Diceros bicornis minor: one gene and its partners. The protein of the gene in region 2 interacts with the protein of the main gene of each other region in a biochemical or structural test. Links are inferred from orthologs where the notes say so. Each region holds a gene or a part of one and is shown on either strand. Other genes may lie near its edges. The genes, in order: CPLX1, SNAP25 and STX3.

Region 1 (3,746 bases), on a different chromosome or scaffold from region 2:
GTGCTGCACCAGGGGAGCCAGGGTACACAGGATAGGCCCCACGGGCCTGGCTGACCAGACTGCTCTGTCAGGACACATTCGTGCCAGTGTGGACCTCGGCCCACTGCCCCACCCACCTCCTGGGCCAGAGCCTCGGCCCACTGTGCTACACTCCCTTCCTCTCCTGGGCCAGGCTCTCTGGCCACAACGACAGCCTTGAGCCAAGTAGGCACAGGATTCCCTTCAAACAGGAGTCAGCAGGGTTGGAAGGGGGGTCCCCTTCCCGAACACACACACAAGAGGCCGCTCTTCCTCCGTGGAAAGGGCCGGTGTCACGCAAGCCTCTTCTCTTGTCCCTGTGCATGCCCCGACCCTGGGTGAAACCCACAGGGTCCTGACTGGACACCACAGGTCCAGCTCTGGCCCCACAACCCCACTCCAGCTGCTGCAGCCACCCTGCAGCCTCCCATAGCTCTGCTCACTAAAGCAAAGCCCCAGTGGGGGCCGCCGGACCTGCCCGTTAGGAATGGGCCTTGGTGCCCCTGAAAGCCACCCTGAGGTGTCTTCCCGGGCCGAGTGGGGGTGCTGCTGCTCGGCCTTTGACCCCTGCCTCAGCACCGGCTGCAGGGCTCCACCCTGACCACAGTGCTCAGCGCAGATCCTCCCCCACCCCCAAGGCTGGCCAGGCCCTGCTCTGCCCAGAGGGGCGAGCAGGTGTGTCTGCGGGGATGTGATGTGAGCAGGCGTGTGTGAAGTCTGAGGGTGACCACGTGCCACGTCCGCATGCCGCTGCAGTGTGCGGGTCCGCGACCAGGTGGGAGCAACATGCCCCACACCGCCTCCTTCCTACCTCCCAGGGCCTGCTTCATCACAAACTCCATGACGACGGCTTTGTCTCCTCAGCAGTTCTTGCGAGGGTCGGAATTCACATGCGAGTGTGGCCAGGAGTCTTCTGCCTGGAGGAAAGAAGTGGTCACAGGTCACCCTGACCCTGGGCAGGGCTTCTTACTCGTCCCCGCCCGACTTCCCCTCAGCATGGGTCAGGGGTCTGAGAGAGCATCATTCGTCGTCCCCCACACCTTGTGCCTGGACCCCAGCACTGGGAGGGTCTCCGTGCAGGGGTGCTTCCACACTATACTCTGACCAGGGTGGGCAGATCCCAGGACCCCAGCTGGACCTGCAAAGTTGTCTCACCCAGCCCCTGGGGTTTCTGAAGCCAGCTTTTGGCTGCTACTGCAGGGATGGGGGTGCTCGCAACTTGGGGGGGGGTGCAGCCTGTGTGAAGCAGGGCCAGGCCCAGGGGGCGTTTGAAGGTGACTGGATCTGCTGCCTCTTTGATGGGCCCTAGGCCAGAGGGGGCGGTCCATCCAAGGGACAGGAGAGTTAGGGTGGATGGGCCCTGAGCCAGTGCCCCTTCAGGGAGGTCCCTTCGGCTACTGATCGGGTAGTCTCGAGAGACCAAGCTCTCTCCACAGGAGGTCCCAGCGCCCGCTACCCCCTGCCCACAGCAGAGACTGGGGTGGGAAGGAGAGAGGGCAGGGGGCCCGGCCTTCAGGGAGCAAATGGAAAAGGGGGACAGACCACCCCTCCACTTGCATCTGCATGGGTGGGGCGCCCCAGGCCAGCTGGAACTCCGGTGGGGAGATGCTTCCTGTAAAATCAGCAGCTGCAGTGCCCCCCCTCGTGAGGTCTCCTCTGGCAGGGAAACCCAGGTTCTTGGAGATCCAGTGCTTTATGAATTTTTCCTCCGCAGACGCAGGAGACCTGAGTGTGTGCGGGCTGGGAAAGGGTGGCAGGCAGGGAATGCCGTACCCCACCCCCCAAAAGGCGCTGGCGCGCACGGGCGCCTTTGTCGCAAAGCAGATTTCTTCCAAACTTCTCCCCTGGCTCCTGGTGGGAGGGAACCGCAGGGCCCGCCGCAGAGAGGCCCGGGGCGCAGCTGGAGCTTCCCCAGGGCTCCTGCAGCCGCCGCACCCCTTTCTGCCAAGCGGCCCTCAGGCGGGGGCGCGCCGGGAGAAGGAGGAGAGACCGCGGACGAGGGAGGGAAGGGCGACGCGAGAGGCCGGAGACTCGGGGAAGGAGCAAGAGAGGGAGCGCGCGGGCCGGGACCGCGGGGCCGCTTCAGCACCGCGCGGTGGACAGCGCCCGCGCGGCCGAGAGCGCGCCCGCGGGGAGGGGAGGGGAGGGGGCGTCCGGGGAGGAGGGGCGTCCGGGAAGGGGAGAGGAGGGCAGGAGGGGTCTGGGGAGGAAGGGTCCCGGGAAGGGAGGGGGTGTCCAGGGGGGGAGGGGGCGTCCGGGAAGGGGAGGGGAGGGCAGGAGGGGTGTGGGGACGAAGCATCCGGGGAGGGGAGGGGGTGTGCAGGGAGGGGAGGGGAGGGGAGGCGGGGAGAGAGGAGGGGGCGTCCGGGGAGGAGGGGCGTCCGGGGAGAGGAGGGGAAGGGGCGTCCGGGGAGGAGAGGGGAGGGGAGGAGGGGTCTGGGGAGGGAGAGTCCGGAGAGGGGAGGGGGCGTCACGGGAGGAGGGGGGGGGCGTCGGGGGAGGGGAGGGGAGGGGGCGCAGGTTACCTTCTCCGGGTCGGGGCGCTGGGGTCAGCGGCGGAGCGCGCTCGGGCCGGCCGGGTCCATGTGGCGCCGGGAACTGCGGCGGCGGCTGAAGGGCACCGCGAGGAGGGCGCGTCACACGGAGCGTGACGAGGAGGGCGGGGCCGCGGCGGCTCGGGAGGGGCGGAGGGGCGGGGCCGCGCTCCCCTGCGCTCCGGAACCTGTCCCGGCCCGGTTCGGGGGATCCCGGGGCCGAGCTCTCCGGCCCGCCCAGCTGCGCAGACCCCAGACCCTGCCCCGCATCCGAGCTGCCCGTGTGGACCCGGGCGGGTCCGCTCCCAGTCGGAGTCCGGCTTCCCACCCGCTCCTGCCCGCTCGGGGCGCCTCGTGAGCGCGCGCGGGACCCGCGGGAAAGTCCCTTCCTGTCGCCGGAGCGGGCAGGGTCCGGGGTTGGGGGTGGCCGCCCCCTCCCCATTCCACCCGGGGAAGGGGTTCCCCGGCGCAGGCGGTGACACTGGCCCCGACCGCCGCCGCTCTGGGGCCTCCTCGTCCCGCTGGGCGGGAGAAGGGAGACCCCGGACTCCGGAAAACCCAGCCACTCCTGGCAGAGAGAGAGACCCGCGGCCGGCTGGACGCATTTCCCAGTGTAATAGAGTCGCCGAGCTTTATTTTAGTGGACTGGGGCCGAGAGACCCCCGCCCCTTGGAGGCCGGCAGGCCCCCGCGGGGCAGGGACGCGTGAAGGTGACTGCGGACTGAGCCGCCCTGCCTCCACCGGGCCTCCGGGATTTCCTCTGCGTCCGGAGCTGATAGGTCGCCACCGGCCTCCCATCCCGCAGCCCCTCCACCTTGCTGTCCCTGCGCGTGTGGGGCGGGGCTGCGGGAAGGGGCCGGGCTCGCAGGGGTCCCGGTCTCCCAGAGGCCTAGGGCCGGCCTTCTGGTCGGCGGGTGGACACCCTTGGTGGCCGCTGCATTAACTTGTCACTGTCCTCTCCGCCGGGTCGTCAGGACTCGCTGGGCCTGGGGGGCGGGGGCGGGCGGGTCCTGGAGCTGTCTGTGACCTTCGCCCCGCAGGGGAGCCCGCTGCTCAGGCTCCTCTGGCTTTTCCCTTCAGCCCCCCCAGGACGCTCAGCTTGAACTCCAAACTCCCCTGGCTGACCATCTCCAGGCCCGACTGTGCCCAGCAGTGGCCTGACAGGGGCCCTCAAGGGGAGGAAGGAGGAGCAGG
Region 2 (3,746 bases):
TATAAGGCGTGTATGCGCCTCTGTGGACTATTCCTAAGAAATGCAACATAAAACCGCAGGCTCCGATTGCAAATTCAACTGAAGACAGCGTCCTCTACTTTGCCCTCCGCAAACAACTCTCAAACTCCAAGCCTTAACTCCCGCAAACCCACGCTAGTTGGGTTAACCACCCTTCCCCCCCCTCCCTCCAACTCTGATATTTCTCAGCGATAATTGCTCTGACGTAGTTTAAAATAACGTGTACCAGTCTCTCTCTCCAACTGACCACGTTAATGCGAACTGCAAGCTCTCGATGCTCCTTTGATAAAATGAAGAAATCACTCATAAAAATAGCAACCCACGTAGCCTGGCCATATATGGAGTTGGTGAGGGCTGACAGGGATGCCCCTTCGGACCCTCTTCTTTAGAAAAAATAAATTGCAGCTGAAATCCACCCCCCGCCCGGGCCTTCCCCTCCCCTTCCATGACTCAACCAAAGACTCAACTTAGCAGGGGAAAAAATTTTACATATGTAATCGCATATATATCACACATACACATATAGACACACAGACATACACATACGCACACATATACAAACAAAACAAAGAATATCAGAAAATCAGTCGCGAGATAAATGTGTTTGCCCGAGACTGGGTGTTAAAACGGAGTCATAAGAATCGTCCCGTTTGGGTGTTTGTAAAAGACTAAAATACAAAGGTTTGCAGTAAAGTGCACAGGGAGCTGACTCAAGCGCTCCGCATCTCGCGGCTCTTCCCCTCCCACCCCAAGCCTCCAGCCTCCATCCTCCCTCCGCCCTCCCCCAACACACTTCCTCTCCGCCCCTCCAGGAGATGGCTATTAAAAGCTGCTGACGTCAAAAGGGACGGCCATCTTTGATGAGGGCAGAGCTCACGTTGCATTGAAGACGAAACCTCGGGGAGGTCAGGCGCTGTCTTTCCTTCCTTCCCTGCTCGGCGGCTCCTCCACACTTGCAACCTGCAGGGGCCGGGCGAACACCACCCTCGAGAGAAGCCAAGGTAAGGAGCCCCCTCCCCAGGTCGTGTTTCTGGCTCTGGCTCTGGATGGCTGCATACCCAGAGGGGACCACAGCTGGAGAGGCCAAGTGAGCTTGGGTAAATCCAAGTATTTGTGCACCCAGGGTGCGGTATTCCATGTGTGCGCGTCTAGCTAGACTCCCGCCTGGGGCTTTATAAAGTATTTTCGAGGTGAGCTGCTTGGGGAAGGGATGAATGGGGACACTGCAGATGGAGCGATGGCGAGGAAGCGCGAGGATACGTACCGAATAACTTACTCTTTTGAAACAGTAGTGGGACTCTCTCTCTCTTCCATTTTGCGATGCAGTTTTCAGAGATGTTTAGGCTGCTGGTTTTTTTTTTTTTTCCCTCTAGACCAAAACAAACAAACCCTGTCGTTCTGACCCTATTATTATGACTGTTGTCGTTAGGGCGCTATTATCCAGGGAAGAATTAGGGAGAAGGCAGGGTACGGGCGCTGGGGAGGCGAAAGAAGGGGGAGTTCCCGGCCCGGGCAAGGTGAGCTGCAGCAGCGACAGCAGCCTCCAAGCCCCACAGACTTGATTTATGCCGCCTGCTCCACGTCAACTGCAGGCTGGCGGGAGGCGGGCGGGTCGTGCTGGGTGGGAGGGCTCTGCGGAGGGCTGGCGGGGGTTGGCTCTCCTCGGGGACTGCGGAGGCCCACACTCAGCACCCTGGACAGCAATACCGAGGGACCGCGCTGCAGCCTGCGACCTTTCAGGACCTCGGACAGCGGTCTGGCCGCGCACCGCATCTACCTACGGCAGAGATGCCTGGCCAGGGCTAGATGTTCCAGGCTTGGAGGCCAAATTGCCTGAGACCCCGGTCTTACAGAGACCCCTAATAGACCAGGCATAGTAGGTTTAAAAAAAAGAAAGAAAAAATAAATCCTGCCCACAGGGACTCCTTTGCAAGCAATTACCTGCTCCCATCCTCAGCTCCTGCATAGCTTCAAAAAATAATAGTCTACTTGTGGAAATTTGTATTGCCCTATTCCCTCTTTCAGGTAGGAAGTAAACACACTAAAAAGAAAATATGCATTCATCCTCCGGTTGGATATCAAGGGTTTTGTTTGTTTTTGTTTTTAACACAAAGTAGATCTATCTACGGATCTTGAGTGGACGTGAATGAGGTATATATGAAGATGCCAGCATGACCTGTTTATAGGAGTGATATATCTCCATATATATATTTCTATTTGATAAATATATGGGGATAGTTGAACTAAGCAGAATCAACTTTAAGAATGAACCCCTCTTCTTCTTCGTTCTCCCCCATCCTTGTAGTTAGGCATGAACACAAGCATATCCACAAAAATACATCTCTGAGAAATGTGACAGGTCATATAGGGTATAGATTTAACCTATTTGGCCATGGTTTCAGAGTGAGTGGGAGTATTTCCTATGGACATTGGTTATCCCAGGCCGATAGTTTCTGATTTTGACAACATTAAGACTGGTTTTCCTCAGGAGAATCCAACTGTGTCCTTCAAGATAACGCAGGTGAAAGGACCATGGTGTTAGACTGAAACTGGACTCTGACCTAGAGATCTACTGCAATTTCTATTACGGCACTGCAGGATTTTGCTGAGGTGGTAATAAGTACTTTAACTATTTTCTACTCTGAGGCTTGGAGCCTCTGAGAGAAAAAAAAATTGTCACAGGGATATTTCCAGCTGTTTGATATAGATAAAATTGGCATAAAATGACCAGGAGTAAAATTGTACTGTTTGAGTAGTTGTTAAATAAGGGGAACAGTGTCATATGTAAGAATATACACAATGCTTTAAAGAAAGGCTATCATGATCCCCTGAAAAGCCTCAAAATAAAATCTTGGATTGTATTTAGTTAGTCATAACTCCAGTCATTTATATACTAGAGGTACTGAAATGCCTTGTCCACAGAGAGAAGTTACTCTCATTCCCAGCTATTTATTTCCTAGTGTTTTTCATTTTTATGGATAACCATACGTTTCCATATAAGAATATATTGATGTTATTGTATATGGGTGTAAAATTATTATTCAAGAGTATGTAACTGCATGGAAGAATTTTATAACTCTGCAATCCGCAGAAGAAATAAACAACTGTGTTGTAGTGATGGTAGGAGGGGCGAAAAGATGGGTAGGAGTCTTTAAAAATGCTTTGACTTCATGCTGCATGTCCAGACATGTCTCTGCGTAGTTGCGTCAAATGAAAAAGCCTAACGCTGCCGGAATTACGTGCTTGGACATTAGTAATTACCGCTGGGCTTGTTTGCTAGTGGAACACTGGGATGGGGGTGCGGAGGTAGAGGGCTGCAGTGAAGCAAAGGGCACATATCTGGGAGGAAGTGGCAACGTGCAGAATTATGGGGCCAATTCTAGAATAGGTTGCTGAGAAATTAAAACAAAACACAATTGAAGCATGAAGCTAACATTTAAATTGTTGACAAGCTTCAGGAAAAAATCAAGAGATTTCCTATTTTAAGTTTTAAATTTTAAAAATCCAGGGCAATACGGCGAGAAGAAGCAGGAACAGATGGACATAAGGATGTGCTAGGAAACATTCATGCAGACCCTCTAATGCTACCTGCTCGTTTGGTCTTTGGCATTTTATGCATTATCACCTTGGCAGTCAGAATACAAAATAATTTATAATCTTCATAACCTTTCCATGGTAAAATCTCCCAAGAATTCACAATTTTATTTTTATTTTGTTAAACATGCAAA
Region 3 (3,746 bases), on a different chromosome or scaffold from region 2:
GGGTTTAGAAAGATCCCACAGAAAGAGATTGCACAGGCTGCTCAATGTAAAATCAGTTTGATGCGAGTTAACAAAAGCCTTGTTAACAAACGCCTTGCCTTTCGTTGATAAAAGGAATCAAAGAGAGAAGATAGTAATCTTGTTGTAGTGAGGGCGATCTCTCTCCTGGGGGCCAGAGGAAAGGGGCAGAAGGTGAACTAGAAACCAAAATGTATATAAACCTTAACAACAGTCTTCTTGGAAAACATTAATATTTTAATATTGCCAGGAGGGGCTTCTGAGATCAACCCAACTCTTGGTTTTGCAAAGGGGGAATAGAGAAGCAGAGAAGTAAAGTGACACAAAACAACACAGCTATTAAGTGGCAGAGCCACAATTAGAACCCTTTCAACCTGCAGCCCAGTCCTCTTTGCACAGTGTCAACACCCATCTCCCTGCTCCAAAACGCTAGAGCAGCACCCATGACTTGAGAACAGCACCCCCATAATAACAGCACCGTCTATAGTCTCACTTTCACCACATCGCCAAGAGGTGCAGGGAGGAAACAGAGCATTAGCTCAGTTTTACAGCGGGTGAATGAGGCTCGGAGAAGCAAAGGGACTGCCTGGGTTCCCTGGCAACCTGAATTTATACTTGGAACCCAAAGCTCAGAGAAGACTCTTTGCTGTTTGTTGACAATGGGCTTTTGAAAGGGGCCGTGGAGTATCCTCCTCTATGGATTTCCTAACTAAAGGAAGGGAGCCGCCTCTGCCTGCTGTTCAGTTTTGCATTGTTTTATGACTGCTGCGTGTGCTGATAAGGGAAGATCTTCAAAAGCCATGGTCCTCTTTCCTTTCTGCCTCCCCAACCAGCATGCTACAGGGAAAGAGCACCATGAAGAGTGTTAGGAGTCTGGGTTCCTCCCCTGCTTGTGACCTGACCAGCTCTGTGACCCGCAGCATCCTGCCTACCCAGGCTTAGCTCTGGTTTCCTCATCTAGAAAAATAGGGGCCATAAATTCTGCCCCGTAACCGGGATGTTGTGAGGCTCAGATGACATGTAGGAGGCAGGGAGGCTCACCCCACAATCAGCAACTGTCCCTTTGCTTCTCTCACTTCCCCATCGCCCTACTACCCAGAGCAGGTGAAAGGGTCATGAAGGTCTCGCCCAAGACGAGGGAGGAGAAAGAAAAACAATTGCGACATCATCCCAGGAGTCCCTCACACTCATATGAGGCCTGTATTTTTCCAAGGAGCTTTTACAGTTCTCAGCATAATATTTACCATCTATTCGCCCTATATGTGTCATGCACCATCCAAAGGGCTCTGCACGCTCTCTTGCTTTTAGTCCTCACAACCACGCATTGTAAAGATGAGAAAACTTAGACTCAGAGGTTAAAGGAGAGCTAGTTAGCAGTGGAGCCAGGAGGCAACCCCAGTTCTATCCAGCCCCCTGCTTCCCAAAATGCTCACGAATCACTGGGGAGATTTGTGAATAATCAGATTCTAATTCTGTAGGTCCAGACTGGGGTCTAAGCTTCTACATTTCTACCAAGCTCCCAAGTAGATGGAAGACTTTGTATCAAGAGCTAGATTTTACATTCCATTAAGACAGAGCCTGTGTCACCCAATCCCCAGGGCTTAGCACAGGGCCTGCCCCCTAGACAGCACTCAATAATTATTTGTTGAATGAGTCAATGAATATCTAACTCAAAAACTCACGTTTGACACTTTTCTATATCGAGGGTTATTATGTCATTTGATCTCATAACAAATCTCTAAGGTATGATCATCCCCATTTGACAGATAAGGAAACAGAGGCTCAAAAGAATAAGCAGCCTAAGGATTTACAGCTTTTGTGCGGCAGGGCTGGAGGCGGTCTACCTTCAGATCCTTTGCCCTATCCAGCTGTCCTGAGGATTCAGGAGAAATTAATAATTATAGACTGCCGGATGGCGAGGAGCTGCACCATCCTGGCACGTGACCAGCTCACAGCTCCGGAGGTCACCCAGGAGCTTTCCGGGGGAGAGGGCAGCCGGCTCGGGAGACAAGGAAGGAGATAGAAGGCTGGTCCTGGGCACAGTGCCAGGCTGCAGTGGGTAAGGGCTGAGGTGACCCCTGACCCCACAGAAAGCTCCGCTAGGCCCAAGCACCCCGCGCGGACCCCAGCTCTGGACAGACGCTGTCATCCAGGGAAATCGCAGCCTAGCCAGGAATCACCCGGCACACGACCCCAGAGGGGAGGGGAGGCTGCGGAACGCGCGCGGGATGCCGCTGGGGCTTGGGGAGGGCAGGCCTCGCGCTCGGCCCCGCTCCAGCGCCGATCTGGCGAAGGTAGGGAAGCCCCTCTCCCGCGCAGCTGCACCCCCGGCGGGACCCGGCCCCGGGGGCGGCGGACTCACGGCTTTCAGCTGCTCCAGCCGGTCCTTCATCCTGCTGCCCCGGCGCCCAGGTGAGCGCGTCCCAGGTGAGCGGCCGGAAGACGCAGCCGGGCCCGGCCAGGGCGAGCGAGCTGGAGGCGCAGGCAGAGGAGGGCGGCGGCCGCCGGCGAGGAGGAGCGTCCCAGGCCGCGAGAAGCTCCGCCGCGCCGCCCCCTCCGGCCCCGCCGGCGCCGCGCGCTCCGAATCCGCCTCCCGGGCCGGCGCCGGCGCGCAGCGCTGATCCGCCCGCAGACCCGCCCCTCACCTGGGCCGCGCCCCGCGCTCCTCCTTAAAGGGCCCGCGCCCCGCCGCCCTCGGCGGCCCTCCCTCCACCTCCCCTAGCCCGGGTCCCTCGAGGGACCAGAGAAATCCGCGGAGAGGGTCCGGCACTGGTAGATGCCGCCGCAGGGCCGAGGAAGAGCGAGGGGGTCTGTTTGACCTCAATTCCATCCTTTCTATTCGACAGCAATTCACTACCTGTGCCAGGCTCCGTGCTCGGATCCAGCCTCAACAGACTCATTCGTTGCTAAACAAAGAACTCTAAGACGGTGTGTTTTGTGCTATAATAGGTGGGAGAAAAAGCAACTAATTCCGCCTGGAGGAAGGGCATTCCAAGTCACGGAGTTTGAACAGTGTGGGGGACTGCATATTGGATCTGAAAGAGGACGTTCCTAGAGGAAATAACCAGAGATGAGGTGGGACGGGACGGGCTGGGACGAAGCATTTGGATTTCATCATGTTGGCAATCGGGACTCCGCAGAGAAATGCGAGCAGTTCAGTGTTGAAGTCAGAACACCTGCCAATAGCAATTTGTATAACTTTGGGAAAGGCGCTGTTTCTCTAGAGGACTCCGTTTCCATATCAATAAATCAGAGATAACACCCAATTCACAGTTTGCTGTGAGGCCTGGGTGACAGAGGAGGGGTGACTGATTCGTCACCTATAGAGCAGCGTTGTGAGATAGATGTTTGTATTGGAAAGCGTAAGCCATTCTCATTTCCTACGTGGTGTCAAGATCCCAGGTGGGTGTACCCTCTGAAAAGGTGGGCGGGTTCTTCGCACTGCCCCTCCCTGTTTATCCCCTCTCCTCTCCCCACCCCTACCCTCTCTTCCCTCTTCCTTGTTTGCCTTCCTTCTTGGGAACAAATGACATATCCAGCAGACATATGCGGCCGTCAATTCTCAAGTCAGGAAGAGAAGGTGCTCTATGCATTCAGGTCACAGGACTGTAAATATTTTCATAATTCTAACAGAACTTTGCCCTCTTCTGCGATCTGAGTGCCTGCTCCATGCTGACTTCATTGCCTCCCATAAAGACACCGTCTGTACGCGATCGGGAAGGTGGAAC

The links.
Region 1: the proteins of SNAP25 (region 2) and CPLX1 are reported together in a solved structure, tested with the Homo sapiens proteins (2 studies listed by BioGRID, with this or other methods). The link is inferred for Diceros bicornis minor from reciprocal best matches to the Homo sapiens genes SNAP25 and CPLX1.
Region 3: the proteins of SNAP25 (region 2) and STX3 form a complex in vitro, tested with the Homo sapiens proteins (2 studies listed by BioGRID). The link is inferred for Diceros bicornis minor from reciprocal best matches to the Homo sapiens genes SNAP25 and STX3.

Annotation. Positions count from the first base shown.
Region 1 is NC_080747.1:262,044-265,789, forward strand, and holds the start of CPLX1 (complexin-1), read right to left. Parts: upstream 2,626-3,746; 5' UTR 2,544-2,625; intron 936-2,543; 5' UTR 861-935; coding exon 830-860; intron 1-829. UniProt on the Homo sapiens protein: Positively regulates a late step in exocytosis of various cytoplasmic vesicles, such as synaptic vesicles and other secretory vesicles.
Region 2 is NC_080758.1:37,757,140-37,760,885, forward strand, and holds the start of SNAP25 (synaptosomal-associated protein 25), read left to right. Parts: upstream 1-916; 5' UTR 917-1,019; intron 1,020-3,746.
Region 3 is NC_080770.1:13,471,072-13,474,817, forward strand, and holds the start of STX3 (syntaxin-3), read right to left. Parts: upstream 2,553-3,746; 5' UTR 2,411-2,552; coding exon 2,381-2,410; intron 1-2,380. UniProt on the Homo sapiens protein: Potentially involved in docking of synaptic vesicles at presynaptic active zones. Apical receptor involved in membrane fusion of apical vesicles.